Caenorhabditis elegans: one gene and its partners. The protein of the gene in region 1 interacts with the protein of each later gene in a pairwise test. Each region holds a gene or a part of one and is shown in the gene's direction. Other genes may lie near its edges. The genes, in order: cdc-37, bed-1, F01G4.6 and cdk-9.

Region 1 (7,720 bases):
CTCACAATCCCGTTGGTTTTCGCAACTTCTTCGCAAGAAATACGGTACATATGTTTTAATACGAATAATTAACATGAAAAACATAAAAAATGTAGAAAAAAACTTTTTTTTTTGGTCGACTTCCAAAATTATGAGTGGCAAAAACTGAGTAATTGCCACTTTTTTGCAGTTAATAAAAAACTTTCAGAAATTTTTTGAAACGTTTTATTGTGATATGCAGCCAATGTTCCAAAAAGTACACTGAAAAAAATTAAAAAAAAAAGACATTTTTGGCAACTTACCAAAACTTTTGCTGAAACTTTAACAATCTGAAAATTTTTGGACAGTTTCATTTTGATATTCGGTCAAATTGAACTATTGAATTCATACTGAATCCCCACTGACGATTCATTCTTTAAAAAATTAATTTGGAAGAAACCCCAAAATAACAGCTTCAAGTTGACTCCCAAACCTTATGTTATTTCAGATTCTCGATCTCTCTACTCTCAGCAAAAGCGAAAACTGCGGTTGCCAGAGTCAACGGGAACCACGAAAGTGTGTCATTCTCTGATTCGACAATCAGGCTGAGGTCCAGTCTCAATGACAGATATTGTAAGAATCTTCACGATCCTTGTACTCTCCCACCGTCATACAAGAGCATTACTTTCGTATAGTCTTACAGGTCCAGCAAGTGATGTCGTAGCGGATAACATCACGGTTATCCGGCCAGAACCGCTGCCCAAGACAACGACTAGGCCTGCCAACGTTTGGAGGTCACGATGCAAGCGCGCCCCACCGGACGGCGCGCGGATCTGAATTGCCGGCGCCAACTCTAATTGTCATCATTCTCGACTTTTCTTGGCCCCGCCCAATTCCCCTATATAAGGAGCCGGAAACGCTCATTCTAGGTCTTCTCTAATTCCTTTTACTTGTGTTACTTATCGTCCTTTTCCCCTCCTTACATGTCCCATTAACTCGGTGATTTCTCTATTAATTTATCCTTAATAAACCGTAATAACCTCAAAACCTCCAACTCTTATTATTCTTTAAAGAATTAATTTGGAAGAAACCCCAAAATAACAGCTTCAAGTTGACTCCCAAACCTTATGTTATTTCAGATTCTCGATCTCGCTACTCTCAGCAAAAGCGAAAACTGCGGTTGCCAGAGTCAACGGGAACCACGAAAGTTTGACATTCTCTGATTCGACAATCAGGCTGAGGTCCAGTCTCAATGACAGATATTTATTCATATTTAAAGAAAATCCACCGAGGGTGGTAGCTAGAAGGAATATGCGAGGATCTGAAGACGAAATCGAGATTCCTCACCTCACACTTATCAAGTTCCTGGACCACATCCACGAGGTTTTGCATCAGAACCGGCAAATCCACATTAACCTCGAAAATGGGATGAATGAAGAGATAAAAACGATTTGTTCTCTCTTTGAGAACAGGAAGATCGCGAGCTGCAGCACCACATCCACGGAAGTTCAGGGGCACCATCTCTTCGGGACTCATCCAGAGAACCTGGAGATTGTCGTGGTCCCAATAAGAAAAGAACTCTTGGTTCAAAATTATGAGGAGCTGAAAGTCACCAATCTCACACTGAACGAGGTGTTCTTGTCAAATAGTCGAACGCTTCGTTCATTGCACCACTCAATGACTGCAAAGGATGTCAACTTGTTCTTGAAGATCTGGATTCAGAACTCACAGCTGAGAATCAGTGATCTTGTTGTAGATGGTCTGAATATTGAGCATCCTGTACATGGAACTATTCTCCGCGGAATAGACTTTACTAGATACGAAGATCCTCTGGTCGTGGATGATGGAATGGTTCAACACGTCCAAATTGTGTGCAAAAGAGGGATCAAGGCAAAGGTTTCCCTCACCAGAACTACTGTTCGATTCGTCCGGCTGGCCGACGATGAGTAAGCAGCGACTTTTGATCATCTTTCACTGCAAATGCCTTCAAATACCTGTGCAATTATTTTTTTCGGTTGAGCTATATGGTTAAATGGTTGAGGTGATGAAATAAATATGTTCTTGTATTTTAAATTATGCAATAAAATGGCTCAAGAAATCGAATTACACAACCGTAAAAATGGAAGTAGAGGGGGGACATTGGGATAAAACATGACTGAATAAATGAAAATTTCGGGTTAGAATGCTTGTAGAAATGCACCGGATGGGGAATCACATAAATTATTTAAAGTTCTCCAGTGGCGCGGGCCTTGTAGTGCTGGAAGACACGATAGAGGGTGTGGCTCAGGTTGTTCCAGTAGTTGTAGGCCTGCTTCATGTAGAATTGAATGACCGAGAGTGGCTCGCCGAGTGAGATTCCAGAGGTGACGTGGACGGTGGAGGAGAGTGGGAGGAAGCCGCGACCTGAAAAATATAAAAATTCATTAGAAACGAGGGGATTTTTATATGGGTCTGGTTGACTACAAACTACAAAATTATATTTAGCAGACCAAGCGATTTCAGTTCGAAATTGGTCTGCTAGACTACAAACTACAAAATTATATTTAGCAGACCCAAGTGATTTCAATTCGAAATTGGTCTGCTAGACTACAAACTACAAAACTGTATTTAGCAGACCATGCGATTTCAGTTCGAAATTGGTCTGCTAGACTACAAACTACAAAATTATATTTAGCAGACCAAGTGATTTGATTTCGAAATTGGTCTGCTAGACTACAAACTACAAAATTATATTTAGCAGACCCAGGTGATTTTAATTCGAAATTGGTCTGCCAGACTCAAAAAAAAACGAATTTTCCTTGATTTTCGGTGTAATTTACCGTAGCACGCGACGTAGGTGTCCTTCTCGAAGCTGTACACGTGGGACTCGAACTGTCCGTGCCTGAAAGCGGCTCCCGAAGCAAAGTTCTCCGACGTCTCGTCCTGAGTTCCGTCATTGAATCGGCTGACTTTTCCTTTCAACACGGTGCACGTCGTATTTGCCCAATGGAGCCCCGGGCGTCCTGAAGTTGGGAACGGAGCGGAGAAGGCGGCGGCGAACTCGGTGAAAGCGGTCAGCATTGGGTACATCTGGAAAATTCATTAAATTTAAGATTTTTTTTCGATTTTTCCTGTTCCTCACCCTTAAAGTGAGGCCTCCCAACTGAATAGCGTGCCATTCGAAGTGACTTGGCATGATTGGCTCGTAATAAGTGCGCATTCCAGACGTCAATGTGGAAATTGACTGGGAGATTGTTGGAGCAGCTGAAAATATACAATATATTAAAATTGCGGTATTTTCGCAGAAAAATATGTTTTTCCTCACCAGCAGCCTTTCCAGCGATAGTCTTGAACTGCTTCGGCGAGATGTCATAAGACTTCCAGCGGAGGCCAAATTGAGCAGCCTGGAAGACTGCGTAGAAGAGCAGAAGATACCGAAGCTTTGAGGTGAGAAGAGCCATTTTCACGTGTTGAACTACCCTGAAAACATGGAAATTTGGAAATTTTGCGTGAAAAAAAAAGGAAATACAGTCATTTCGCGAGTTTTCAAGAGGGACAGCGAGTGCGAAGAAGAAAAATTGTGAGTTTAACATTGATTTTTTGAAATTTCAGATGTTTTTTCGCGGAAAAATCAATGGAAATGCTTGAAAAATGCAAGAAATGGCGCTGCAGCGCGCTGAAAATTAAAAAAATCAGCGAAAAAGGAATTGTGTGCAAACACCGTGACGCAGAAGCACACAGAAAACACCATATCTGACGCGCATTGCCACAGAAGGACCGAGAAGAAAAACAAAAGTCATTTTTCGCCTTTCTCATGTTATTTTCGGGGTTTCCTTCGATTTTTTCCACTTTTAGAAGTCTAAATTTAATTCTACAGGCTTTTAAAAATCAATTTGTCGGAGTTTTGGGCCAAAAAAAAGGCCGAAATCCGCTAGAAAACGTAGTATTTCTATTTGAGAAATTTTGAAGAAATTTCTCGAAAATTGCTCAGCAAATAGTTAATTCCACGTAAATCCTTTGAAACATCATTATAATGCCACGTTTTCTTCATGAAATTTCTGTTTTCGTAATTTCACGCGGATTATCCTCGTTGTCGTGGCAACCGAGTCGGAATTTTCCAGCGATTATCAGTTTTCTCTCGCTTTTCCTGCTAATTCCTTATTTTCCACTCAATTTTCTCGATTTTCAGCTCAAAAATGCCAATCGACTACTCCAAATGGAAGGATATCGAGGTTTCCGACGACGAGGACGACACTCACCCGAACATTGACACTCCGTCGCTCTTCAGATGGCGCCATCAAGCTCGTTTGGAGCGAATGGCCGAGAAGAAGATGGAACAGGAGAAAATCGATAAGGAAAAGGGCACGACGAGCAAGAAGATGGAGGAGCTCGAGAAGAAGCTTGCCGCAGCCGATGTCACTGACAAGTCGGATATTCAGAAGCAAATCGACGAGGTGAAGGCGCAAGAAGAAGCCTGGCGCAAGAAGGAGGCCGAACTCGAGGAGAAAGAGCGTCTGGAGCCATGGAACGTCGACACGATCGGTCATGAGGCGTTCAGCACGTCGAGGATCAATAAGGTTTTGAAGATTTTTCTGTGCAAATTGATTAATTCTGTAATTTCAGATCACCGAGAAGAAGCCGCAAGCTCCCAAAACCGATGAGGAGGACACTCATGCGATGAGCACTTTCTTCGAGACTCACGAGAGCCTTCTGGAGAAGATGGCCGTGCTCAAGAACGGAGCCAAGTCGACGGAGCTGTTCCTGGCCGAGCATCCGCATATGGCGTCGGAGTACACTGCAAATTGGCTCACAATTGAGGCTCTCAACGCCGCCATCGATTTTAATGAGGAGAAAATGAAGACGATGGCTGAGCAATGCATCATCATTCAATATCTTCTGGAGCTCTCGAAATCGCTGAACGCAGTCGCCACGAATACCACCGTCCAGAAGCAATTCTTCAAGAAGTTCGAAGCCGCCGAGCCGGTCTACATGAAGCACTATCAGGATGAGGTGAAGGCGTTCGAGGATCGTCTCAGAACACGTGCGCAGACGAAGAGAGACGCCGCGATGGAGGAGGCTGAAGCCGAGGAGAAAGCCGAACGAATGAAGAGTGCTCCGGGAGGAATCGATCCACAGGAAGTGTTCGAGCAGCTGCCGGAGGAGATGAGAAAGTGCTTTGAGGCACATGATATCGAGGCGTTGAAGGGTGTCGCCCAGAAAATGGATGAAGAGGTGAATATTTGGGTCTGCTAAATTGAAATTTGTAGTTTGTAGTCTAGCAGACCAAGTTTCTTCCAAATGGCATTGGTCTGCTAAATCGGAATTTGTAGTTTGTAGTCTAGCAGACCAAGGTTCTTCAAAATGGCATTGGTCTGCTAAATCGAAATGTGTAGTTTGTAGACTAGCAGACCCAAAGTTTTCAATTTTCGCAATGAAAATTGCAAAAATTGATAAATTTTCAATTTTTCAGCGGAAAAATGAATATTTTTCAAATAGAAATTAGCAAAAATTCAGGTTTTTTGCGATTTTTAGTGGAAAATTGTGCGATTTTTGTGTTTTAAGACAAAAGTGCGTATTTTAATATAAAATCCTGAAAAAATCTGAACTTTCGGGGGAAAATTGATCTATTTTCAAATTTTTGAGTGAATTAACATTGTATTCCAAAAAAAAACGAATCAAAAATCAAAATTTTAAGCTGAAAACAGGCATTTTTTAATTTTGGTCTGCTAAATCGAGTTTTGTAGTTTGTAGTCTAGCAGACCAAATTTCTTCAAAACCACCTATGGTCTGCTAAATCGAAATTAGTAGTTTGTAGGCTATTATTTTTAGCCAAATTCATCTAATTTCAACATCCAAAAATCCAAATTTTCAGGTCTTCAAGTACCATTTCGATCGATGCATCGCCTCTGGACTCTGGGTGCCCGGAAAAGCTGACGACGACGACGACGATGAGGAAGCTGCTCCAGCCGAGGAAGAGCCAACAACCAGCTCCTAAATTTCCCCATTATTCCCCGTTTGAAAGTTCCCCTGATCTACTTGTTTTTTCTGCACCGCACTTTACTTTTTCCCCAAGATTCACTGAAAATGGCCCAATTATTTCTTTATTTATTCTACACCCCCCACGACATTTACTGTTTATTTTCCCTCTCGAACACCTGTAAAAAAGTTTTTTTTTGCTTCGAGAATCGTTCCACTTCGTATTCAAAAATTCCAATTCGGAATAGCATAAAGATTATCATCATCAACTTTCTTCTTATTGTGTTTATTCGTTTTTTTTTCTCACGATTTTTTGAAAGTGATGTTTTGTAAGCAAACGTTAGTCTCCGCCTGACAACTATAAAGTTCAATAATGGATGTATTATCGGTCATTTTTTGGCTGAAAATGGTAAATTCGCGGCTTATTCTACTAGTTTTTGTCCCATTTTCCTTGGCACAATTGAGCTTGTATGGAAGTGAGTCTAGGATGGGTCTGCTAGCCTACAAACTTCAAATTTTGATTTAGCAGACCCAATAACGTGCCATTTCGGCGTGATCTACGTAGATCTACAAAAAATGCGGGAGTTGAGGCGCAGAGTTCTCAACTGATTTTGCCTGCTGACGTCACATTTTAGGGCGAAAAATTCCCGCATTTTTTGTAGATCAAACCGTGATGGGAAGAGCCTGACACCACGTGACACAAATGATTTCTTAAATAAAAATAATTTCCAGATTGGACCCCAACTGTCATTCGTTACTGTGAGACGCTCCAATCAGCTACAGTACCCCTGACTGGAGGTGTCACTTGTGGATCTTCGTCGTATAATGTGATGAATGCTTGTTAGTTATTGATTTTCTGATTTAAAAATAATTTAATCTGCAATTTCAGAGTTTTTGGAAAAGTTCAAAAAATTCAGAAAGAATTAATTTTTTTTTCAAACATTTCAATTTTTATTTTGAGAAATGTTATTAGAATGCGTATTGCACAACATATTTGACGCGCAAAATATCTCGTAGCGAAAACTACGGTAATTCTTTAAATGACTACTGTAGCGCCAGGTGTCGATTTACGGGCTCGATTTTTGAAATTAATTTATTTTCGAATTATTTTCTTATTTTTTACTTAGTTTAAATATTCTATAAATTATTTTTATTAATTTCAAAAATTGAGCCCGTAAATCGACACCTTGCGCTACAGTAGTCATTTAAAGAATTACTGTAGTTTTCGCTTCGAGATATTTTGCGCGTCAAATATGTTGTGCAGTACGCATGTGATCCCATAATATGTTCTAATTTAAAATCGATATTTTATAGTTTTCACACTTCCAATCAGTTCTACACTTTCACTTGGACTTATCAATGTCGGATGGATCACCTCGTAATTTTTTTTCAATTTTTTTCAGCTTGAAAAAATTTGAACAATTTTCAGGGAAGCTCTAAAATCTCAATCCGGATTCTGGAAGACATGCAAGCCATATTTGGTTCGACTTTTTGATGGGATATATACGGATACTAGTGAGGAAACTTATTTTCTTGCTGAAAATCGAGTCCAGCTCACCGAGACCTTTTAAATGACCCCCATATTGACTAGAATCCCTCAATTTTAAATTTTGGAGGGTCTCGGCACGAAAAAGGGGGGGGGCGTACTGTAGCTTTTCGTGGTGGAACCCAATGAAATTCGAAAAGAAGGGATGCTTGCCATTATGGGGGTCATTTGAGAGCTTTCGAATTATTTTGCACAATCAAATTTTTTTTTAAGTTGGTGGCCTAGAAATTTGAAATTCTAGGCCACCAACTTCAAAGCTTT
Region 2 (10,234 bases), on another chromosome or scaffold:
CGCTGGAATTTGAGAGAGAGAAACTAAAAAGTGTCATAACTCAGATTCTAGGAAAGATATTGAAAAGCTGTTAACTATTGATATATTGCAAATTTTGTGTAGATCATTTTAATAGTCGGCAAAAATTGCTCTAGCCTCTAAAGAGTTACAGCCTTTAGAAGCCACCTGACGGTTTTGACACCGTAGACGTTTCCTATTGCAATTTTTTTCGGGTTAGTCATACAATTATATTGTCAACTAACAAAATATAGGAAATTTGATACTGATCATTATGTTAGTTAGCAACTTTTTGATAGCACTATTGGTTTTCAAGATATAAGAGTTTTAGTCCTTACCCTCGCGGCCTTCGCGTTGTCCAGCCGCCTCTCCAACATTGCAATCCTATCATCAACATCGACTAATGCTTCTTTTTCGTTTTTTGGGAGCATTTCCTGTTAAAAAACATAATTTGACGTTAAAAAATAAACAATTTTCAAAAAAAAAATTTCGAAAAAAACACGAAATTTTTTGTGCAAAAAAAAATTTCCAAAACTTTTCGGGACTTTTTTCCAAAATCAAAATATTGAGCATGTTATATTATCATAACTACAAAAACTACAAACTACAAACTACAAACTACAGTATACATCAAAATTCTAAAATTTTGGCTCAAAAATCCCAAAATGGCCGTGCAACTGAGGCAGCTGTCACCATGGTGACCGTCTCCGTTTCTCTGCGTCTCTCGGGGAGCCAGCTCTCTCACATTTTGACAAATTTATTGTTTAGAAGCCTAAAATGGCAATATTGAACAGAAATTTCGAATGTTTCAGCGAAAAAATCGATTTAAAATTGGGTTACGGAAGCTTTAAAGGCGCATATAGCCAAAAATTGAGAAATCAGGTTTTTCTGGCATTTTCAACCAATTTTTAGAAATTTTTGTTCATTTTTTGCGAAAAAACGAAAGAAAACCAAAAAATTGAGCCAACAGCAGAGAAAAAACGATTTTCCGAAAAATTTAATGGTTACGGTAGGTTTAAAGGCGCATTGCACAATTTTTTGGGCTAAAAATGGAGAAACATGATTTTGCCCTACGGTTTAGAGTTTTTCATGTGAAAAATCTGGGAAAAACCAAAAAATTTGCTCCAAAAACTGAGAAAAATTGATTTTTTTTTTAAATTAAAAGGTTACGGTAGGTTTAAAGGCGCATCACACAAATTTTTGCGTTAAAAAGCAAAAAATTTAGTTTTTCTGTATGTTTCTTCAATTTTTTGTCAATTTTCAGTGAAAAATCAAGAAAAAACAGAAAAATTAACCCAAAAACAGAAAAAAAATCGATTTTTCGAAAATTTAAAAGGTTACAGTAGATTTAAAGGCGCATCACACAAATTTTTGGGCAAAAAGTTGAGAAAGTTGTTGAGAAAAACATTTCAACGTTTTCATGTGAAATATAAGGGAAACACCGGAAAATTAAGCACAAAACAAGGAAAAAACAATTTTTCGTAAATACTGAAAGGTTACGGTAGCTTTAAAGGCGCATTGCACAATTTTTTGGGCTAAAATGTAGAAACATGCTTTTTGCACTGATATTTATCGTTTTTCATGTGAAAAATCCAGAACAAAACTGTAAAAATGAGCCAAAACAAGAAAAATTGATTTTTTTGCAAAAATAAAAGGTTACGGTAGGTTTGAAGGCGCATAGCTGGCAAAAAATGTTGCAAAATGTTTATTTCAGCCCGCTTGATTGGCTTTTCCAGTAGAATTTGAGAAAAACGACTTTTGCCAAATATTAAAGGAATACAGGAATACGGTATGTTTAAAGGCGTATAGTTGAATTTTAATTTTAAAAAAAAACAAAAAAGAATTGCCCCGAACCAGGATCGAACTGGTGACCTCACGATCTTCAGTCGTGCGCTCTCCCAACTGAGCTATCGAGGCAGATGTGTGACACTCCTCTCGAGGCCATGAAGACAACAACTATGTACCCCCCCCCCCCCACACACTCAGCCCGTCTACCCGTCTAACACCCTCCGGCTTCCCCATTGTCTCTAGGAAGGCCGCGTGAGGCGGGGAGGCTGTCTCGGGCCCGAATTGATTGGGCCGTCTGCGGTCTCTTATGTTTGTGTGCTATCTCGTTGGGGGGTGTCTCCTGCCCAAAGGCCTCGGCTAATCCTTCATTCTTCCCGCCTTTTTCGCCTCTTGCTTATACCTTTTTTTTGCCGTTTTTACCAATTTTAGAGGTTTTGGAATAATTTTTGTGCAAATGTATAATAAGGTTGGAATAGTAATAATATTAAAAATTAATAAGAAAATGCGAAGAAAAAAAAACAAAAAAAAATCGCTTTTTCTCAAATTTTTCGAGTTATGCGCCTTTAAACCTACAGTAACTCTTTTCTTTTTGCAAAAAATCGCCGATTTTTATTGTTTTTTCTTGACTTTTAACGGTAAAAAGTAAAAAAATCCCGAAAATTCACAATTTTCCTAAAATTATTCGAGTTATGCGCCTTTAAACCGACCGTAACCCAATTTTGCGATTTTTTGTTGGTTTTTATTGTTTTTTCGCAAATTTTTCGGTAAAATTTTTTAAAAATGAAAATTTATTCAATTTCAGCACATTTTAACATTTTTCCAAGTTTTTTCTGCAAAATTTTTAGCCTATGCGCTTTTAAAACCACCGCAAAATAGGTTTTCTTTTCTGCAAAAGATGATTTTTGGGCTTTTTTAAAAAATTTTCGTTGCTTTTTACGCTTTTTTCTCAATTTTTTGGCATAAAAATGATGAAAAATCATTGAAAATCGCTAAAATACAAATATTTTCCAAGACTCCAGCAAAATTTTGAGTGATGCGCCGTTAAACCTACAGTAACCCACTTTTTTGTTTTGCATATCGATTTTTGAGTTTTTAAACTGATTTTCAACGGTTTCCTTGATTTTTTTTGTAAAAAATGTCGAAAAATATGATTTTATTTTTTATTTTTTTTAGGAAAATGTAAAAAATAAATACATATCCCGCAAAAAATCGATTTTTCCACTCAAAACCTTTTTTTTTCTTGAAAAATATTCAAACTTTCAGAAATGGAATCCACTCAAAAAGACATCAAGCTAGAACCCGACGAATTTAACTACATAATTGCTCCAGGAGCACCAGAATCTGAAAATTTAGCTGAAAATCCTGAAAACCCCGTAGATTTATCGGAAATTCCGTTGGAAACGAAGCCGGCGTGGTTTCCGTCGTCAAAAGGCCGGTCTATTGTGTGGGAGCACATTACGTGGGTGGCTGAAAGCCAACGAGCCGCCTGTAATTATTGTGCTGCTGAATTTCAAGTTAAAGGTGACGTTTGACTACAAACTACAAGGTTTTAGAGAAAATTTGAAGAAAAATGACACTAAAACTACAGAATTGCAAAAAAAAATCGAAAAAAATGATTCAATTTGAGCAAAAAATGACAGAAAATCGAAAAAAAAGGCGCTGCTAACACTACAAACTACAAGATTTTGGGCGCTGCTAAGACTACAAACTACAAGATTTTGGGCGCTGCTAAAGCTACAAACTACAAAATTTTGGACGCTGCTAACACTACAAACTACAAGATTTTGGGCGCTGCTTAGACTACAAACTACAAGATTTTGGGCGCTGCTTAGACTACAAACTACAAGATTTTGGGCGCTGCTAATTCAATTTTGGGCGCTGCTAAAGCTACAAACTACGAAATTTTGGACGCTGCTAACACTACAAACTACAAGATTTTGGGCGCTGCTTAGACTACAAACTACAAGATTTTGGGCGCTGCTAAGACTACAAACTACAAGATTTTGGGCGCTGCTAAGACTACAAACTACAAAATTTTAGGCGCTGCTAAGACTACAAACTACAAGATTTTGGGCGCTGCTAAGACTACAAACTACAGGATTTTGGGCGCTGCTAATTCAATTTTGGGCGCTGCTAAGACTACAAACTACAAAATTTTGGGCGCTGCTAAGACTACAAACTACAAAATTTTGGGCGCTGCTAATTCAATTTTGGGCGCTGCTAAGACTACAAACTACAAGATTTTGGGCGCTGCTAATTCAATTTTGGGCGCTGCTAAGACTACAAACTACAAGATTTTGGGCGCTGCTAAGACTACAAACTACAAAATTTTGGACGCTGCTAACACTACAAACTACAAGATTTTGGGCGCTGCTAAAGCTACAAACTACAAAATTTTGGACGCTGCTAACACTACAAACTACAAGATTTTGGGCGCTGCTTAGACTACAAACTACAAGATTTTGGGCGCTGCTTAGACTACAAACTACAAGATTTTGGGCGCTGCTAATTAAATTTTGGGCGCTGCTAAAGCTACAAACTACGAAATTTTGGACGCTGCTAACACTACAAACTACAAGATTTTGGGCGCTGCTTAGACTACAAACTACAAGATTTTGGGCGCTGCTAAGACTACAAACTACAAGATTTTGGGCGCTGCTAAGACTACAAACTACAAAATTTTAGGCGCTGCTAAGACTACAAACTACAAGATTTTGGGCGCTGCTAAGACTACAAACTACAGGATTTTGGGCGCTGCTAATTCAATTTTGGGCGCTGCTAAGACTACAAACTACAAAATTTTGGGCGCTGCTAAGACTACAAACTACAAAATTTTGGGCGCTGCTAATTCAATTTTGGGCGCTGCTAAGACTACAAACTACAAGATTTTGGGCGCTGCTAATTCAATTTTGGGCGCTGCTAAGACTACAAACTACAAGATTTTGGGCGCTGCTAAGACTACAAACTACAGGATTTTGGGCGCTGCTAATTCAATTTTGGGCGCTGCTAAGACTACAAACTACAAAATTTTGGGCGCTGCTAAGACTACAAACTACAAGATTTTAGGCGCTGCTAATTCAATTTTGGGCGCTGCTTAGACTACAAACTACAAAATTTTGGGCGCTGCTAATTCAATTTTGGGCGCTGCTAAGACTACAAACTACAAGATTTTGGGCGCTGCTAAGACTACAAACTACAGGATTTTGGGCGCTGCTAATTCAATTTTGGGCGCTGCTAAGACTACAAACTACAAAATTTTGGGCGCTGCTAAGACTACAAACTACAAAATTTTGGGCGCTGCTAATTCAATTTTGGGCGCTGCTAAGACTACAAACTACAAGATTTTGGGCGCTGCTAAGACTACAAACTACAGGATTTTGGGCGCTGCTAATTCAATTTTGGGCGCTGCTAAGACTACAAACTACAAAATTTTGGGCGCTGCTAAGACTACAAACTACAAAATTTTGGACGCTGCTAACACTACAAACTACAAGATTTTGGGCGCTGCTAATTCAATTTTTGGGCGCTGCTAAGACTACAAACTACAAAATTTTGGGCGCTGCTAAGACTACAAACTACAAGATTTTGGGCGCTGCTAAGACTACAAACTACAAGATTTTGGGCGCTGCTAAGACTACAAACTACATAAATTGGGCGCTGCTAACCTCAATTTTAAGGTTTTTCAACGATTTTTCGCATATTTTTTACTTTTTTTTTAAATTTTCAGGTGGAACATCAGCACTATTACGTCATTTGAAAACAATACACCCGGCCGCCATCAATTTTGACCCCGAAAATCCGCCACCAGTAGCCCGGCGGAAACGGAAGAAGATGGAAGGTATGGGTTTTGTATTGATTTTTAGGGGAAAATATCGATTTTCTGGCTTTTGCAGTGTGAAAATTACCGATTTTTTGTAAATTTTCAGATTATACAATAGTGACAGAAGACACCAAATCGTATATGGATAACCTTCTGGAACAGTTTTTAAATGTCGATGATTCTGGTGAGTTTACTTACTACTGTAACTTTTTTTACGAAATTTCGTGGCGAGACCCACAATTTCCATTCAAATTTTCAGCGCCACGTGGTGGCTTACCGGATCACGATTCTCCACAACACATGTTAGTTGTTGACCCGCAAAGCCGTGCAGATTCGGAAATCGACGCAGTAATAAGGAATTTGCAACAGGTAATTTCTTCTATTAATGTGTAGAAATATTTTAATATTTTTGCAAAAGTTCCAGGAAACCGAACAAAACGGGCTCTTGGAGCCAGAACCCGACCAGGCGCTCAAAAAACTACTCGGAATTGATGATGGGCGGTGTGAAGAGGTTATAGCGATCGCCGCGCCAATTCAGCAGGATGAGGAGGTACAATTTGCAGAAAAATCGATAAATTCCCAAGAAAATCAATAAATTCCCAAAAAAATTAATAAATTTTCAGAAAAATCAATAAATTTTCAGAAAAATCTATAAATTCCCAAGAAAATCAATAAATTCCAAAAAAATCAATAAATTTTCAGAAAAATCAATGAAATTCCAGAAAAATCAATAAATTCCCAAGAAAATCAATAAATTCCCAAAAAAATCAATAAATTTTCAGAAAAATCTATAAATTCCCAAGAAAATCAATAAATTCCAAAAAAATCAATAAATTTTCAGAAAAATCAATGAATATTCAGAAAAATCAATAAATTTTCAGAAAAATCAATGAAATTCCAGAAAAATCAATAAATTTCCAGAAAAATCAGTGAACATTCAGAAAAATCAATAAATTTTCAGAAAAATCAATAAATTTTCAGAAAAATCAATGAATATTCAGAAAAATCAACAAATTTTCAGAAAAATCAATAAATTCCCAAAAAAATCAATAAATTCCCAAAAAAATCAATAAATTCCCAAAAAAGTCAATAAATTTCCGAAAAAATCAATAAATTTCCGGAAAAATCAATAAATTTCCGGAAAAATCAATAAATTTTTAGAAACAAGTGAGCTCAAGCTCTGGCGGAGCACAAACCAAGAAGCGAAGAGCCGATGAGCAGAAATTGACTGAAAATCCAGCATTAAACAGTGGAAAATGTAGGTTTTAATAAGAGACTACAAATACTACAAAGACTACAAAGACTACAACTTTTTTTTCAGTCTCCCTATCGATTCTCTCTGCAATTCGTCGGCCACCTCTTCCATCGAGCACTGCCACGTCATCATCAGCCGCGGCGCCCCAGATCCCGGCGATGACGTCATCAGCTGTTGCCTCTGCCACGTCAGCAGCAGCAGCAGCGACGCCAATGATGCCGGCAAAATATAATGCACAGGCGGTGCAAATTTTGGATTTTGAGGCAAAAGTATTGTATAATCAATCACTGCATTCGACAATTGCCAGAGTAGGGGATTTTCAAAATTTGAATTTTTGGCTCAAAAAATACTTGAAAATCGATTTTTTCACTTGGAAAATCGAAAAAATCACGAAAAATGACCCAAAACCGCGAAAAAATGAGTGCGCTGCTTAGGCTACAAACTACAAGATTTTGGGCGCTGCTAATTTAATTTTGGGCGCTGCTAAGACTATAAACTACAAGATATTGGGCGCTGCTAAAACTACAAACTACAAGATTTTGGGCGCTGCTAATTCAATTTTAGGCGCAGCTTAGACTACAAACTACAAGATTTTGGGCGCTGCTAATTCATTTTTGGGCGCTGCTAAACTACAAACTACACGATTTGGGCGCTGCTAATTCAATTTTGGGCGCTGCCAAGACTACAAACTACAAGATTTTGGGCGCTGCTAAAACTACAAACTACAAGATTTTGGGCGCTGCTAAGACTACAAACTACAAGTTTGGGCGCTGCTAATTCAATTTTGGGCGCTGCTAAGACTACAAACTACAAGTTTGGGCGCTGCTAATTCAATTTTGGGCGCTGCTAAGACTACAAACTACAAGTTTGGGCGCTGCTAATTCAATTTTGGGCGCTGCTAAGACTACAAACTACAAGTTTGGGCGCTGCTAATTCAATTTTGGGCGCTGCTAAGACTACAAACTACAAGATTTTGGGCGCTGCTAATTCAATTTTGGGCGCTGCTTAGACCACAAACTACAAGATTTGGGCGCTGCTAATTCAATTTTGGGCGCTGCCAAGACTACAAACTACAAGATTTTGGGCGCTGCTAATTCAATTTTGGGCGCTGCTAAAACTACAAACTACAAGATTTTGGGCACTGCTAAGACTACAAACTACAAGTTTGGGCGCTGCTAATTCAATTTTGGGCGCTGCTAAGACTACAAACTACAAGATTTTGGGCGCTGCTAATTCAATTTTGGGCGCTGCCAAGACTACAAATTACAAGATTTTGGGCGCTGCTAATTCAATTTTGGGCGCTGCCAAGACTACAAACTACAAGTTTTTGGGCGCTGCTAACCCCATTTTTCTTGCAGGAAGACGCCATGACAACATATTATCGAATGAAATCTAGAAAACTGGAGCTGGAAATCAAAAAATTGGAACGAGAACTCGGCGAGGAGCAAGATGAGGCCCAAGAGCACGAAGAATAACCAATTTTTAATCTATTTTCCACAAAAGTTTATCCCGATTTCTCTTTTATTGATTTTCTGTACAATTTTCTCATCCGAAATAAATCAATTTTTTTTAATATTTCATTGAATTCAGCGGAAAATCAATAAAAAATAGAGTTTCCCGATTAATCTGATTTAAATTCCCACGCAACGACGCTCCGAAATCCCGCCAACGCGCCTTGTTTACCGTAAATCGACACTTCATTTTTCGACGAATTTCTCTGATTTCTCACCTATTTTCATGGATATTGCCCCCATTTTTCGTGAAATTTTCGATCGTAAGTGCTTAAAATGATTGAAAAATTTAATTTTTGATTTTAGAATTCAGTTCTGACAATATATATCGCTCATGGCACAAAATATCCCAGGAAATTCGAAGCGGCGATGAAAAAGAGCGCGTTTTCCGGTTGATTGTGAAGATTTCGATGCAAAAACTTGATACATATGAAGCTGGCAAGGAGGTGAGTGTGAAATTCATCAAAATTTGAAGAAAAACGTCAAAATTTTCAGGTAAATCGTGAAAATCCGCAAATTTCGGCGCAATTTCCCGATTTTCTCTTCAAATTTCTCCACGCTTTCCAATTTCTGCCGTCAGATCAGCAAACCTTTGCGAATTCCATGTTCTTGCTGAAAATAATCGATTTATTCGGTTCGGAATGCCCGAAAATTATAAATTTCTCTGAAATTTCATATATTTCGAGGCTTCTCGAGCTTGCCACTAACGTAAGTGGTGATTTTTTGCCGAAATCTTTAATTTTTGAGCTAATTTCAGGTATTATTAAAGGATTTATTCGAAAACTCGGTGAATTTATACCCAAAAGACGGGAAATTCAGGAAAATCGGCGCCCGGGACCTGCTCGACGGAGTTGTGATGTCAGAAGAGCCGGAAGATGGGAAATATAAAGAAAAATCGTTTTTAAAGATGAAAACGAAGGTTTTAATCGATTTTCTGAAGGAAAAATGAGTAAAAATTCGAATTTTCAGCTAATGGAGCTCGAGCCACGTGGAAATTCGGATTTTGAGCGGAAATATTTGGATTTTGAATCTAAAAATGTGTAAATAGTACTAAAATTTTAATAAAACGGGTTTATTTATTGATTTTATCGTCTTTTTACTGGTTTTCAGCCAGAAATCTTACTTTTTCCACTGTTTTCCTAATTTTTCAACCTTAAACTCCACACATTTTCAGCCAAAAAAATGGGTAAAGTGTCAAAATCACCCGGAAAGGGCGAAAAAAGGATCGGAAAAGTCGGCAAAAAAAATGGAAAAAGCAATGCTCCGACGGAGGGCTCCAATTCTGGAAAAGCTTCACGCTTCACAATGTCCGAAAGGAATTTGGGATTGATGCAAGAAATTATTCGAAAAGATCCGGAATCCTATAAAGAGGTGCGAAATTCGAGAAAAAACGAGAAAATTCGCGAATTTTGGGTTAAAATTGAGTAAAAAACGACGAAAAATTCGATTTTGGGCGCTGCTAAGACTACAAACTACAAGATTTTGGGCGCTGCTAAGACTACAAACTACAAGATTTTGGGCGCTGCTAATTCAATTTTGGGCGCTGCTAAGACTACAAACTACAAGATTTTGGGCGCTGCTAAGACTACAAACTACAAGTTTTTGGGCGCTGCTAACACCAAATTTTGCCAATTTTCTGCTAAAACATCACTTTTTTCAAATAAAAATTAAAAATACATACATTTTTCGACTACAAACTACACTTTTTCATGAAATTTATCGATTTTAGCTCTAATTTATTAATTTTTTGCAGGAATTCCTCGAACAATTCAACTATTTCGTTCAAACAATGAAACTTCTCCACTTGCAACCCGAACAATCTCGTCAAGAAATGCAATCTCTCGTCGATTCGGTGCTTTTTCT
Region 3 (6,327 bases), on another chromosome or scaffold:
TTTCAGTGGTCCACAGAAAACTGCACTTTTTGCCTCACCAAAACTGAAATAGAATATTTGGAAATCAATTTATTGTTTCAGATAATTACCGTTTAAGAGCGTGATATGTTTTTCCACTATTCGTTGGTCCAGCGTGAAAAAAGATCTTTCTTGTCACACTTCTGGCTTCAGGATACCAATTGTGCGGTCTTGTGAGATCGGAAATGATTCGCAAATCGTCCATCGCTTCCAAGTGGGGAAAAACCTCAAAATTTCAGATAAACTCTCAATTAAGATAGTTTTCGGAAACCTGTTTGGCATGATCTAAAAAGAACGGATACAGCATTTCACAGTCTTTTGTTCCTTTTGAAATATCGCTTAATAGAATAAGAAGTCCAGGATCAACAGAATTTAGGTCTTCTGGTGTACAGTACTCTCTGAATGATTTGAAAGATCGCATGAATAATTTATCATTGATCCCGTTTTCTTTGGCAAGTTGGCGTACCATTGGACGGCGCATAAATTCATCAAGGGACATGTGAATGTTTGTCTGAAAGTTGAAAAATGAGCTTTGGAAGATGCTGGAGTTGGCATTTTTGATGAGATCGAATAAGTTCTTACATTATCTAGTGATCCAATCCATTCTCCCATTCCCGCAGCTGTTTGTGTTACATGTTTAACTTTTCGAGGTTCGACAATATCCTCAATAGTCGCAGTTTTTCTCACAGAATTCCTTTTTCTTCTAGAATTCATTGCTGGAAATCTGGAGGAGGATGGGGTTGAGCTGGTTGAACATCTTTGAGTTAGGCCTCCCAGAACTCGTAAAACACCAGACGCCCTTCTCATCTGTAATATTTGATAGAAGTATGCACACGCTGAAATAGAAATAGAAATAACGGAAATCCAGAAATTGTTTTGAAAACGTTTATACGTACGCCAGAAGAGATTCATTCGAAAAAATGATGCAAACGTAAACAATAAAGCAATTTTACACACAAAATAGAAATTATTCCCGAGGGTTCAGCGTCTACTTTGAATCAGCTCGCGAAGATTCGTTTCAGCCTCCACCAATCCTTTCTCCAAATAGTCTTTCTGCTTCTCGATAGCTTCAATTTTCTCTCTGAAAATGGGATTGGTTGTGTAAACTGTTTTGAATGGAAGAATGAAATTACTTTGACTGTTTAGCTTCAGCTTCATGTCTGGAAATTTCAGCTGGTTTGTCGGTCAGCAGGAACATACGCCCAACAGATCGATAGTACTTGAGGTTTTCATCCAAATCCACCAAGTTCTTTTTTGTGCTCTCTGAGATCCTCATTTTCTGAAAAATTTAGTTATTAGAAGCGTTACTTAAGAGAAAAAGTTATACTTTTATGTTTTTAAATATTAAAAATGCTGAGTGTTTTTTAATGGATGTGTGTAATGAAAAAATACCGATGTACAGCAAAAACTTTTTTGGCAAAGCTAGATTGTAGTTGTGACTAGCTGTGACTATTTGTGACTTAGGCACAAGCTAAGAGGTGAAACTCGCTAGTTTCTATGTTATCAAGTTATGATGTCATACATTTCTCATAATATTTAAAGTATATCAAATTTCAATATTTAATATTCAAAAATACTCACCTGATAGTTAACTTTCTTATTTTGTTCTCCTTGAACTATCCGCATTCGTGTTTCATTGGTTTTGAATTGCAAGTCGCGAAACGCTTTTGAGATCTCCTCGTCGGCCATTTCTGAAGTTGTAATATGAAAGTTGATTTAATAATTGAGACAAAAAAGAGTTGCGTTAAAAGAAATCACGAGAAAAGCAAAGAAAACAAATTGATTATCTTTGAAAAGTTGATTTGGAATAAACTTTTGAGAGATGGATTATTTATCCACAAATTTTAATTATTTTATGATTTATATATGTTAAAAAATGAGATACACCTTTTAAATGATAAAATAATAATGCTAGAAAACAGAATTTTAGATGTTGTAGTCATATTTTAAAATAAAAATGGAAAAATCGAGTAGAAATGTTTGCTGGCGCATTGCCAGAATCGAGTTAGATGTGCAGGTCATATAGCAAAGTGACGGGAGACGACTACGGTAGGGGCCGACCATGGCTCAGAGAACGTCCATGATATCTTTTGAGGCGGTTTGCAGGCCCGCCAGTGATAAATTATCAGTTATTCTACGAATTTCTTGAATTTTGAGTTTTATTGTAGATTTTTGAAGCATTATATTGCAAAATCATCTGTGATATTTTTGTTAGTGTCTCTTTTACATTTTTATACTTCCCGCATACTAATTTTTCGTGTGAATATAAATGTTTGGCAATAATTTCGGTAATTTCCAGGTAACCACCATGAGCGTGTTCAGCCAGCTTGCCGAATCATCGAAGCAGAACCCATTCAGCTTGCCGGTCAGGTCGGGTAACTGCGCCAGTGCTGTTTCAGCTCGTAAGTATTAATTGAATTTAAAAAAAAAACTTAATATATTAGCTAGCATAATATTGTCAGTAAAATAGTAAATTCACGTCCTACTTAGATTACTTTCTAGAATTTAGTTTTTTATTAGGAGGGGTAATGACAATCCGAATTTTTCTTTACCTGCATTCTCTGTTCCCACTTCCCGTGCAGCGCATGTGCACACGTAAATTGACGAGGGCTGCGAGAGGCACGGCGGAGATAGTATCTCGCGAAAAGAGAATCGAGACAGACTATTCCCTCGTTTTGCAAAACGTGGCAACCGCGTTTTAAAAAGACATAGAATCGAATATCTGTCTGCCGTTCGACGTCGTTCACACGTAAATTTCACGTGGATCATTTACTATCTTCCACGTTATTTCTATGCTACCACATGCCTAGGCGGGATTATAAGCATTGTTATAATCGCTTATCAATGACGTCCGAAACGGAAGAGAAGGCTATGCCATTCATAGCTCGAGCCAAATCTCCTCATCTCCAAACTGGAAGGGCTGGCATTATAGTGATATTATGCATGTGGATTATAATTTATTTTTGGGGTGTTACCCAACTAGTTGACGGGTTAATGGACTGGCTGGCGTACGGGTCCACTCAATATGTTGCACGGGTCGCGGTTGGTGTTGTCACCACTGTAGCTTCTTCATATGAAGGTTTATCGCTCGAACTATACAATTTAATGTTTTTTTGTTACAGCTGGACAAGTTGAATTCGGAAGTGGCAAGTACTACGCTTACTGTGCTCTCGGAGGAGTTCTTTCTTGTGGAATCACCCACACTGCCATCGTACCACTTGATCTTGTCAAGTGCAGAATTCAGGTATTACGAGAAAAATCTATTCAACTTAATTGTTTTCTTTTAGGTGAATCCAGAGAAGTACACCGGTATTGCTACTGGTTTCCGGACCACCATCGCCGAGGAAGGAGCTCGTGCTCTTGTAAAGGGATGGGCCCCAACCCTCCTTGGATACTCCGCACAAGGACTTGGAAAATTCGGATTCTACGAGATCTTCAAGAACGTCTACGCTGACATGCTCGGAGAAGAGAACGCATATCTCTACAGAACCTCTCTTTACCTCGCTGCTTCCGCCTCAGCTGAGTTCTTCGCTGATATCCTTCTCGCCCCAATGGAAGCCACCAAGGTCCGTATCCAAACCTCACCAGGAGCTCCACCAACTCTTCGTGGATGTGCACCAATGATCTACAAGGCCGAAGGACTCACCGGATTTTACAAGGGACTTCCACCACTCTGGATGAGACAGATTCCATACACCATGATGAAGTTCGCTTGCTTCGAGAAGACCGTTGAGGCCCTTTACCAATACGTTGTTCCAAAGCCAAGAGCAGAGTGCTCCAAGGCTGAACAACTTGTCGTCACGTTTGTTGCTGGATATATCGCCGGAGTTTTCTGCGCCATCGTATCTCACCCAGCCGACACTGTTGTTTCCAAGCTTAACCAAGACTCTCAAGCCACCGCCGGAGGAATCCTCAAGAAACTTGGTTTCGCCGGAGTCTGGAAGGGACTTGTGCCACGTATTATCATGATCGGAACCCTCACAGCTCTTCAATGGTTCATCTATGATTCTGTTAAAGTGAGTTTATATCGGTATTATTTTTCTTAATTAATAAAAAAAATTCAGGTCGCCCTCAACCTTCCACGCCCACCACCACCAGAGATGCCAGCTTCCCTCAAGGCCAAGCTTGCCGCTCAACAATAATTGCACTGACTAGATAATGATTTTGATTTCCTTCCTTAATCGATTGTTCTAGCCATTGTATTAATTTGAAATCCACCCAATTTGTCTCTTTTCTCTCGGTCCTACTCTCACTCTTAATTTTTTATAACTAATTAGTGCACCATGCTCGGTTTTAGTGTGATTATCATTTCCTTCATTTGTTTCAAGTTGTCCTTCAATCCCGATGTCTTCTTTTTTGAAAGATGAGTTCTCTGGCAGTGTTTTTATAAATCTCCTCCGAACAAAACCGATCGAAGAATATTGTATACGTTGGTGTTAATTTGTGTGTGTTCTCAAGAAAAGACCTCAATTGGGTAGTTCAATTAATACAGTCCACCCTCGCTCGTTTTACCGTTGAATTCCAATAAAAAAAATTGATAATAACGTGATTTTCAGAATTTATGGATAAAATTACTAAAAACGTGGTTTTAATCAGGACATTAGAAGCAAAAATTCTTCTCGTCCGGTTTGTTTCCTGAGATATTAATATTTTATACGGAAACTTAGTTTCTAGAACATTTTCCTTCACACGTCTGTTGCTTCTTGATGTTGCTTTTTCAATTTACTTATGGAATATTTGGACACCAAATTGGGAATGGACAGTCAATGAATTTTGGGATCAAACTGGAAATGTTGCTGATAATTTGAACGGAGTAATAATATTTTGAACTTTATGCTCTTCAATAAGAATTTTCAGACAATAACATGGCTGAGAAGTAATCCAGCTGGACTTAAACTTAATACTCCCGTAAATGAAACTCTTGCATGGTTCTTCACTTATCACATTTATCTATGGACAAGTATGCTCTTTTGTTTCCAGAAATTCGCATTCAACTTTCATAATGATTTTTCAGCTTTCATTGGATTTCTTCGTTCTGATGCATTCTTCCGGTTCATCGCATACTCTTTGATCGGTGGCATTTCAACATTTTCTGCGATGGTTTACGATTTCTCGCAAATATTTTTCTTGCACTTCAATTGTTTTGATGCCTACGCTACCAAGTAATCGGGAACTTCAATTGATTTTAAAAGATAATTAATTTTTCAGATTGTGCTACCTTTGTTACTACACTTTAACAGTTCTTTGGAGCCTTGTGAGGGGAAAGAAGTGGAATCCATTGAGAGAACGAAAAGACACTGTAAGAGTTTTCTGGTATACCTATGTCATTTTGTATAAATATTTTCAGGTAATCCTCGACACTCGTCAGCAATTCCTGGCAACTTCTCTGTTCGTCATCCTTCTTTTCATTCTTCCTACAATTTTTGTCTACTTCGTCGTCTTCCGATGTCTTCGACTCGCTGTATCGGCACTTCAAACCGTGCTCTATTTCTTCGCAACGTGGCCATTTCAACTGTTTGCTCTTGAAAAACATTTAGCTGAAAAATACGGAAAACCAGCGGATGCACAAAACGAAGCATTGGCTGAGAAGAAAACAAAATCCCAAAACTGAATTTGGATATATTCAATTTTGATATCTTCGGGTTTTGTTCTCATCATGAGTTTTTTCGTTGTATATGAAAATAAAATTTTGCCAATTTTCCGTTGGTCACTTTAAATTTCTAGTTGTATCACTAACTTCCCTATTTCCAAATGGGAAGCTTGATTGAAAAATAACATCTTTTCGTGAAAATTAAAAACTATTTTTTTGAATTTCGTGCGTGCAAAATACCAAATACGCAAACACCTCAAATGACGACAAAAATTGGAGGTATTTTTTAATTAAATTAAATTGTATAAATTGACAAATAATATATTAAGGAAATTACGAGAATAAATGGCGGATATCGAAGCCGTATAAATGGGAAATCAGGGGTCATGGGACATGCTTGCGTGACAAAACGCGGAAACTTTCGCTGAGTGGCGACTCAGCTATCAATAAAACATATAACTATTAGGGAAAAATGCGGAAGGATTGCGAATAAAACATTTTAGAATTGGACAGGGGAGGGAATACTATAATCTTGAATGAAAAAAAAGTCAGGACGGGAACTTTTGCATTAAACATGGGGGGCATTTGAAAGAAAAAGATTTTGCGAGGAATTTTTCAACTATCCACGCGTCTTCCTTTCGATTGTGGTGGGAGCAGCACTCTTGGAGTCTCATTTATTCTTCTCGGCTCCGGGGTAGTCGGATCGTTGCTTGTAGCAC
Region 4 (7,331 bases), on another chromosome or scaffold:
AAAGCTGAAAACATTTTTTTGGAATTTTCTGGAAAATCAGGAAATTTAGGCTAATTTTAGCGATTTTTTTAAAATTTTTAGGTGAAAATTCAGTGAAAAGCGGGAAAAAATTAGTTTTTCATGCGAAAAATTAAAAAATTAAAAGGTTTTCCGGCTTAAAATGCAAACTTTTCCCCAGTTTTCAGGCTGAAAATCTCGAATTTTTAGATTTTTGAGGTCGAAAACAAGACATTTTCAGGTTTTTCTGTATGAAAACCACCAAATTTTCCGGGTTTTCCGGCTGAAATTTATGAAATTTCAGGGTTTTCTTATTGAAAATCGCGAAATTTTCAGCTTTTTACGCGTAAAAAGTCCAATTTCTCAGACTTTTTAGGCTAAAAAACTAAAATTTTCCGGTGGGGGGCTTCAGGCTGAAAATTAGGAAATTTCCAGGTTTTCCGGCTAAAACTTATAAAATCTCAGGGTTTTAGGCTGAAAATCACCATATTTTAAGGTTTTCAGGCTGAAAATTACGGAATTTTCAGGTTTTTACGCTTAAAAAGTCCAATTTCTCGGACTTTTCAGGCTGGAAAACATGAAATTTCTCAGATTTTTTAGGTTAAAAAACTAGAATTTTCCGGTTTTTAGACTGAAAATCACGAAATTTTGAGATTTTTTAAGTTAAAAAACCAAAAATTTCCAGTTTTTTTGGCTGAAAACTTCGAATTTTTAGATTTTTGAGGTCGAAAACAAGGAATTTTCAGGTTTTCAGGCTGAAAATCACGAAATTTTCCAATTTTCAAGCTAAAACACGCAATTTTTCCGGTTTTTCCGGCTGAAAATCGCGGAATTTTCAGGTTTTTTTATGAGAAAAAACCAAAATTTCTCAGATTTTGAGGCTGAAAATCACAATTTCTCAGTTTTTTGGGTTTGAAAACCGGAATTTTTCGGTTTTTTCAAGCTAAAATACGCAATTTTTCAGTTTTATCCCTCTGAAATTTATGAAATTTCAGGGGTTTCAGGCTGAAAATGTCAATTTCTCGGATTTTTTAGGGTAAAAAACCAAAATTTTCCAGGTTTTCATGCTGAAAATCCCCAATTTTCAAGTTTTTCATAGCTTTTTTTCTGCTTTTTTCACGAAAATTCCCAATTTTCATGGTTTTCTTCAAATTTCAGTGGCAATTTCTTCAACTTTTATCGCTTTTTTTCCAGTTTTTCAGCGCGTTTTCAGGCTAAAAATCCCGATTTCCTCGTACTTTTTGTCCGGTTCCATGCATTGCGGCATTTGGCATTCTTGTATTAAATTGTTTAGTTCTCATCGGCTCACCGGGCTCCAGTTCCATCAACATTACACGTAGATTTGTGCCTCCGAGGTCCATTGCAACGAATTTTCCACGTTCTGCAAAAGAAAATCATTGATTTTTACTGAAAATTCGGCGGAAAGTGGCTGATTTTGGTGTAGGTGGCTTAGAAAATGGTGAACTGGGATTTCTAGGCCACCTAAAGTTAGGCCATAGTATGACAGTTGTTGTTTTGCCGCAAGAATGGAGTTCTTGGTAAAAATCTGGTGGAAAATGAGTAGGTGGCCTAGAAAAAGCTAGTTTTGGATTTCTAGGCTACCTAAAGTTAGGCCATGGTGTGAATTCATTGAAATTTACGATTTTTTCAGTAGAACATGAAATTTTCGTGAAAATTTGGCGCAAAATTGCTGCTTTTGGTGATGGTGGCCTAGAAAATGGAGGCCTGGGATTTCTAGGCCACCAAAAATTAGGCCATAGGCTGAAAATATGAAAATCAACGTTTTTTCAGCAGAACATGGAATTTTCTTGAAAATTCGGGGGAAATGAATGAGTTTTGTGTAGGTGGCCTAGAAAATGATGGGTTTGGATTTCTAGGCCACCAAAAGCTAGGCCATGGATTGAAAAATCGAATTTTTAGCCAATTTTTCGGATTTTTTGAATTTTCAGTCAAATTTTCTACGTTTTCAAGAGAAAAATCAGTGATTTTTATGAAAATTCTTGCTTTGGTGGCCTAGAAAATGGTATATTTGGATTTCTAGGCCACCAACTGGAAAGTTAGGCCACGACCGTAAAAACCCATTCTTAGGCCATTTTTTCTCGATTTTTCGATTAAAAACCTTTTCCATTCGGCAATTCTGGCACAAAAGATGGTAACATTGCAATTGTGGACCGTTCCAAGCCGGATTCCAGTCCTCGATCCATATTATCTGATAAATGGGACATCATTCGTCGGAGAGTCGTATTTGACAGCTTAAACTCGGCCATCACGGATTCCAGCTGCAAAAATATCGATTTTTAGGTGGTAAATTGGTTGGTGGCCGTGAAATTTGGGTTTCTAGGCCACCGAATGGAAAAGTTAGGCCACGGACTGATTTTTGATCAAATTTTGATATTTTTAACGGGTTTTAGAGTTAAAAAGCAGCAAATACTCAAATTGTATTTTACGGTGGCCTAGAAAACCCAAAACCGGATTTCTAGGCCACCAATTCGGAAAGTTAGGCCATCGATTCGAATTTCGGTGATTTTCGAAGATTTTCACTTTTTTGGACATTGAAAATGAAGTTAATATCAGATTTTTCTGAAAAGGTGGCCTAGCCGGATTTCGAGACCACCAATTCGAAAAGTTAGGCCATGGACTGATTTTTAGTGAAATTTTGCATTTTTCGACTATTTTTTACGACAATTTCAGCGAAATATGCCAATTTATTGTGTATTATAAGGATTTTCATGCTTAAAAAGCCATTTTCAACAGTTTTTCTCCCGAAATTTTCCGCCAAATCTCCCACCGAAATCGATTCTTCATTCAGTTTCGACGCCATTTTTGCCAGCGGAGTCGTCGGCGTCCGCGGGCTCTTTTTTCCCTTTCCATGGGCTTGTGAACGCCATATCCTGAAGAAAAATGCGGTTTTATCGATTTTATCGATTTTTCCCGGGCGGAAAAAATTGAAAAATGTGAAAAATACCGATATTGAATGCCGAGCTCGATGATACCCAGCATTTTGTGTAGATTTTTGGGCTGAAAATGTTAATTTTGACATTAAAAAATAGTGGGAAAACAGATTTTTTATTTGTTTTTAAGAAAAATAAAATAATAAAAACCACGGGTTTCAGGGGCACACACAAATTGTCAATATTTTTGAGTGAAGATTTGACGAGAAGACGAGGAAAAACATGACGAAGAGACGCAGGCGAAACCCTTCGAAATTGATGATAGAAATGCTTTTTTTTTTGCAAAATAAAATAAAATACGGAAAATGTCAAGTGTGTGCGGCGGTTTGCAAATATCGCGCGCCCGCATTGCAATTGAGCCACTCCGCCCCTTTTCTCTATTTCTCAATGTTTTTTTTTGCAATTTTCCTCTATTTTTTCGGTTTTTTCGCAATTTTTTCGCAATTTTTAATGTTTTTTTCCACAAAAATTAACAATTTTCAGAGCAAATGAGTGCTCAAAACTATCACGCCGGCCTCCACCAGTCGAGTACACAGAGGTTCGTTGGATTTTAAGCGAGAAAACCCCCGGTTTTTCGTTGATTTTCACTAGAAATTCGTGATTTTAACGTGAAAAACACCCCAGATAACTAAAAAATCCACGATTTTGATTTGCAAAACAAAAAAATCAAAAAAAAATTCGCAGAAAATTGATTTTTCGGCAGTTTTTGAGTGAATTTTCACACCGAAATTTATTAAATTAGCGATTTTAACAGCATTTTCCACTGAAATATCACCAAAAATCCAAATTTAAACCTAAATTTTCACTAAAAACCGAGTTTTCCACCTTTCTGAGCAGATATTTATCGATTTTAAGCAATTTTAGAGAGTTTTCCGCTGAAATTTTCGAAATTTTCCCCGAAAAATCGATATTTTCATATGAAAAACTATTAAAAAACTATAGTGAAAATCGCTGTTTTTTCCAACTTTCAGTTTTTTAGGCTGTTTTTTTCACTAAAAAGTCGATTTTCACCCGAAAAAACCGGGGTTTTCAACTATTTTTACTCATTTTAAAGCAATTTTAGGGTGATTTTCACTGAAATTTCTCATTTTTCCCAATAAAAATCGATATTCTCGTTGAAAAACTACGGAAAATCCCTGTTTTTCCAACTTTTTCAGTAGGTTTAGGGTGTTTTTTCACTAAAAAATCCAAATTTTTTCGATTTTCCCCTAAGAAACCCGGTTTTTCACCTATTTTTGGGTAATTTTCACTGAAATTTCCAATTTTTCCCCTCGAAAAATCGATATTTTTACGTAAAAGACACCTTTTGAACACTAATTTCCACTGGAAATCCCTGTTTTTTTCACCAAAAACCCAAATTTAAACCTAAATTTTCACTAAAAACCGGGTTTTCCATCTTTCTGAGCAGATATTTATCGATTTTAAGCAATTTTAGAGGGTTTTTCGCTGAAAATTACCTCAAAATCACTCCGAAAAATCGATATTTTCATGTGAAAACTACTGAAAATCGCTGTTTTTTCCAACATGTTCATTTTTTTGTACTAAAAAGTTTTCGTCCGAAAAAAACCGATTTTTCACCTATTTTTACTCATTTTAAAGCAATTTTAGAGTGATTTTTCCCCGAAAAATCAATATTTTTACGTAAAAAACACCTTTTTAACACTAATTTCCACTGGATTTTTTTCGGCAAAAATAATGAAAATTCACTCAAAATTCGTGATTTTAACGTGAAAAACACCCCAAAAAACCGAAAAATCCACGATTTTGATGACAAATCCCCTAAAAAGTACTCATTTCCACCCAAAAAACCGCATTTTTTCATGTCCAGACCTCCGAAGCGGCCGAACACCGAGCATGCTCAGGAGCCGCCGAAAAGGTACGGAATTTAGGATGGAAAGTCGATATTTTCCACTGCAACTTTTTCCTCACGAGGGACGAGGAAAAGTGGTTTCTAGGCCATGGCCGAGGAGCCGACAAGTTTCAGCGGCCATTTATCTTGCTTTGTTTTCCGCCTGTTTTCTTTTGTTTTTCACAGCTTTTTCCCGTTTTTTCTTAATAAAACTGATAAATAAATATTTTTTGCAGATGCTAAAACAATTTCCAAGTGAAAAAATTATGCATTCAGTGGGCAAGCAGCGGTGAAAATGGTCAATGCAATATGATGGATTACGGGAATACAAAACCCAAACTTTTCCCCAAAAATGATACATATGATGTTTAGATGGTAAAAGTACCTGATTTTCATAACGAGACCGCTGAAAAAGTTTTGAGGTTTCCAAAATTCAACTTTTTTGGTGAAAAAGTCGAGATTTTCACCAAAAAAGTCAAAACTTTTTCAGCGGTCTCGTTATGAAAATCAGGTACTTTTACCATCTAAACATCATATGTATCATTTTTGGGGAAAAGTTTGGGTTTTGTATTCCCGTAATCCATCATATTGCATTGACCACTTTCACCGCTGCTTGCCCACTGAATACATAATTTTTTTAATTGGAAATTGTTTTAGCATCTGCAAAAAGTATTTATTTATCAGTTTTATTAAGAAAAAACGGGAAAAATCGATGAAAAACGAAAGAAAACAGGCGGAAAACAAAGCAAGATAAATGGCCGCTGAAACTTGTCGGCTCCTCGGCCATGGCCTAGAAACCACTTTTCCTCGTCCCTCGTGAGGAAAAAGTTGCAGTGTAATTTCCCATTTTTCAGAGCTCTAATCGGCGGTCAAACGACTCCATCATCATCCGGCGGTGGACAAACACCAAATGGAACAAATTATGAGCTTGAAGTGAAGCAGCAACTATCGAATTATCAGAAGCTCTTCGATCAGGCAACGTATCCGTTTATTCGAGATGTTTCCACGTATGAGAAGCTGAATAAGATTGGACAGGGCACTTTTGGGCAAGTTTTGCAGGGCCGAAAATCGAGGAATTCGTGTGAAAAAATTGCTGAAAAACCGGAAAAATTCGGCGGAAAATCGGCAAAAAAACACATTTTTTAAATGGATTTTAACCGAAATTTTACTCCAAAAAACCTAAAATTCCGCGGAAAATGAAGACGTGGCCTAGAAAAATCATTTGAAAAGCTCGGTCATCATTTCTCAAGCGATGCCCTAGAAAACTCCGCTGGGAAAAACTCGGCCACTGCAAAAAACCTGTTTTTTTCCATTAAAAAACCACTCAAAAACAGCGTTTTCCATGTGGTGGCCTAGAAAAATCCTCTAAAAAAACTTCGGCCACCTCGAAAAAACCTGATTTTTTTCTGTAAAAACCGCTCAAAAACAGCGATTTTTATGTGGTGGCCTAGAAAAATCCACTAGGTATACCTCGGCCACCGCAAAAAACCTGTTTTTCAGTGAAAAACGCTCAAAAACTGCATTTTTCATGAAATGGTCTAGAAAACTCCACTAGAAAAACTCGGCCACCAGTGAAAAAACTTCGGCCACCGCAAAAAAACTTCGGCCACCGCAAAAAACCTGATTTTTTTTTCAGTAAAAACCACTCAAAAACGACGATTTTGAAGCCTAGTGGCCTTGAAAACTCTACTAGAAAAACTCGGCCACCAGTGAAAAATTTCGATTTTTGTCCATTTTCATCGGTTTTTTCTCATTTTTTAAACGTTTTTCTTGTAAATTTTTAATTTTCCCAATTTTCAGAGAAGTATTCAAAGCCCGATGCAAGAATACAGGCCGAATGGTTGCTCTAAAGAAGATTTTAATGGAAAATGAGAAGGAAGGATTCCCAATTACAGCACTACGTGAAGTTAAAATGCTCGAACAGCTTAAACATCCAAATATCACTGATCTTATCGAAGTTTGCAGTGCGAAAAGTGCGTTTTTCGCACGAAAAACGGCAGAAAACCGACCCAAAAATGTGAAAAATCAAAAAATTCACGAAATCTCACGATTTTGGCCGGAAAAAACGCCCAAAAAACTGGAATTTCATGGATTTTTGCCTGAAAAATGCAAATTTTTAGCCCCAAAAAATGGGCTGAAAATCGATTTTTCGGCAGTTTTCCGACGGAAAAATGCTCATTTTGAGTGATTTTTCATTGAAATTCACTGAATTTCTCCTGAAAATCCGGTTTTTCAAGCGATTTTAAGGCATTTTCCACTGAAATTTCATTAAAAACCAGGGGTTTCCACCTATTTTTACTCATTTTAGACCAATTTTAGGGTAATTTTCACTACAATTTCCGAAATTTTCACCGAAAAATCGATATTTTCAGGTGAAAACCACCTTTTTGAACACTATTTTCTACTGAAAATCTCTGTTTTTTCACTAAAAAATCCATATTTTCTCGATTTTCGCCCGAAAAAACTGATTTTTCACCCAATTTTACTCATTTTAGACTTATTTTAGGGTGATTTTCACTGAAATTTCCCAATTT

Evidence for each region.
Region 2: the proteins of cdc-37 (region 1) and bed-1 interact in a two-hybrid assay, tested with the Caenorhabditis elegans proteins (one large-scale study listed by BioGRID).
Region 3: the proteins of cdc-37 (region 1) and F01G4.6 interact in a two-hybrid assay, tested with the Caenorhabditis elegans proteins (one large-scale study listed by BioGRID).
Region 4: the proteins of cdc-37 (region 1) and cdk-9 interact in a two-hybrid assay, tested with the Caenorhabditis elegans proteins (one large-scale study listed by BioGRID).

Annotation. Positions count from the first base shown.
Region 1 is NC_003280.10:576,299-584,018, reverse strand, and holds cdc-37 (Hsp90 chaperone protein kinase-targeting subunit), read left to right. Parts: upstream 1-3,425; coding exon 3,426-3,517; intron 3,518-4,126; coding exon 4,127-4,514; intron 4,515-4,560; coding exon 4,561-5,169; intron 5,170-5,304; exon of another isoform or gene 5,305-5,358; intron 5,359-5,809; coding exon 5,810-5,932; downstream 5,933-7,720. Other genes in the region: W08F4.12 (F-box domain-containing protein), read left to right, coding at 467-591, 662-795; fbxb-14 (F-box associated domain-containing protein), read left to right, coding at 1,270-1,908; W08F4.3 (Sigma non-opioid intracellular receptor 1), read right to left, coding at 2,183-2,361, 2,778-3,027, 3,080-3,201, 3,263-3,398; W08F4.7 (CW domain-containing protein), read left to right, coding at 6,287-6,389, 6,646-6,753, 7,228-7,291, 7,343-7,428.
Region 2 is NC_003283.11:19,117,724-19,127,957, reverse strand, and holds bed-1 (BED-type domain-containing protein), read left to right. Parts: upstream 1-3,044; 5' UTR 3,045-3,050; coding exon 3,051-3,306; intron 3,307-5,512; coding exon 5,513-5,623; intron 5,624-5,711; coding exon 5,712-5,789; intron 5,790-5,864; coding exon 5,865-5,974; intron 5,975-6,023; coding exon 6,024-6,155; intron 6,156-6,766; coding exon 6,767-6,863; intron 6,864-6,926; coding exon 6,927-7,168; intron 7,169-8,218; coding exon 8,219-8,335; 3' UTR 8,336-8,431; downstream 8,432-10,234. Other genes in the region: dyf-17 (Verprolin), read right to left, coding at 336-428; Y39B6A.13 (RsbRD_N domain-containing protein), read left to right, coding at 8,598-8,634, 8,678-8,817, 8,867-9,079, 9,129-9,290, 9,341-9,415; pro-3 (Protein SDA1 homolog), read left to right, coding at 9,554-9,742, 10,125-10,234.
Region 3 is NC_003282.8:11,145,495-11,151,821, reverse strand, and holds F01G4.6 (Phosphate carrier protein, mitochondrial), read left to right. Parts: upstream 1-2,620; 5' UTR 2,621-2,862; coding exon 2,863-3,097; intron 3,098-3,140; coding exon 3,141-3,262; intron 3,263-3,305; coding exon 3,306-4,034; intron 4,035-4,082; coding exon 4,083-4,160; downstream 4,161-6,327. Other genes in the region: C08F8.2 (ATP-dependent RNA helicase SUV3 homolog, mitochondrial), read right to left, coding at 1-43, 90-244, 290-529, 601-825; pfd-1 (putative prefoldin subunit 1), read right to left, coding at 1,000-1,099, 1,152-1,297, 1,600-1,707; pigq-1 (PMT_2 domain-containing protein), read left to right, coding at 4,580-4,644, 4,693-4,831, 4,876-4,978, 5,033-5,180, 5,227-5,317, 5,366-5,629; F01G4.4 (CNH domain-containing protein), read right to left, coding at 6,224-6,327. UniProt on the Caenorhabditis elegans protein: Transport of phosphate groups from the cytosol to the mitochondrial matrix.
Region 4 is NC_003279.8:11,320,096-11,327,426, forward strand, and holds the start of cdk-9 (putative cyclin-dependent kinase 9), read left to right. Parts: upstream 1-3,431; 5' UTR 3,432-3,436; coding exon 3,437-3,486; intron 3,487-4,776; coding exon 4,777-4,824; intron 4,825-5,651; coding exon 5,652-5,843; intron 5,844-6,597; coding exon 6,598-6,770; intron 6,771-7,331. Other genes in the region: hxk-2 (Phosphotransferase), read right to left, coding at 1-4, 1,236-1,378, 2,117-2,276, 2,786-2,888, 2,963-2,997. UniProt on the Caenorhabditis elegans protein: Essential member of the cyclin-dependent kinase pair (CDK9/cyclin-T) complex, also called positive transcription elongation factor B (P-TEFb), which is proposed to facilitate the transition from abortive to production elongation by phosphorylating the CTD (C-terminal domain) of the large subunit of RNA polymerase II (RNAP II) and spt-5.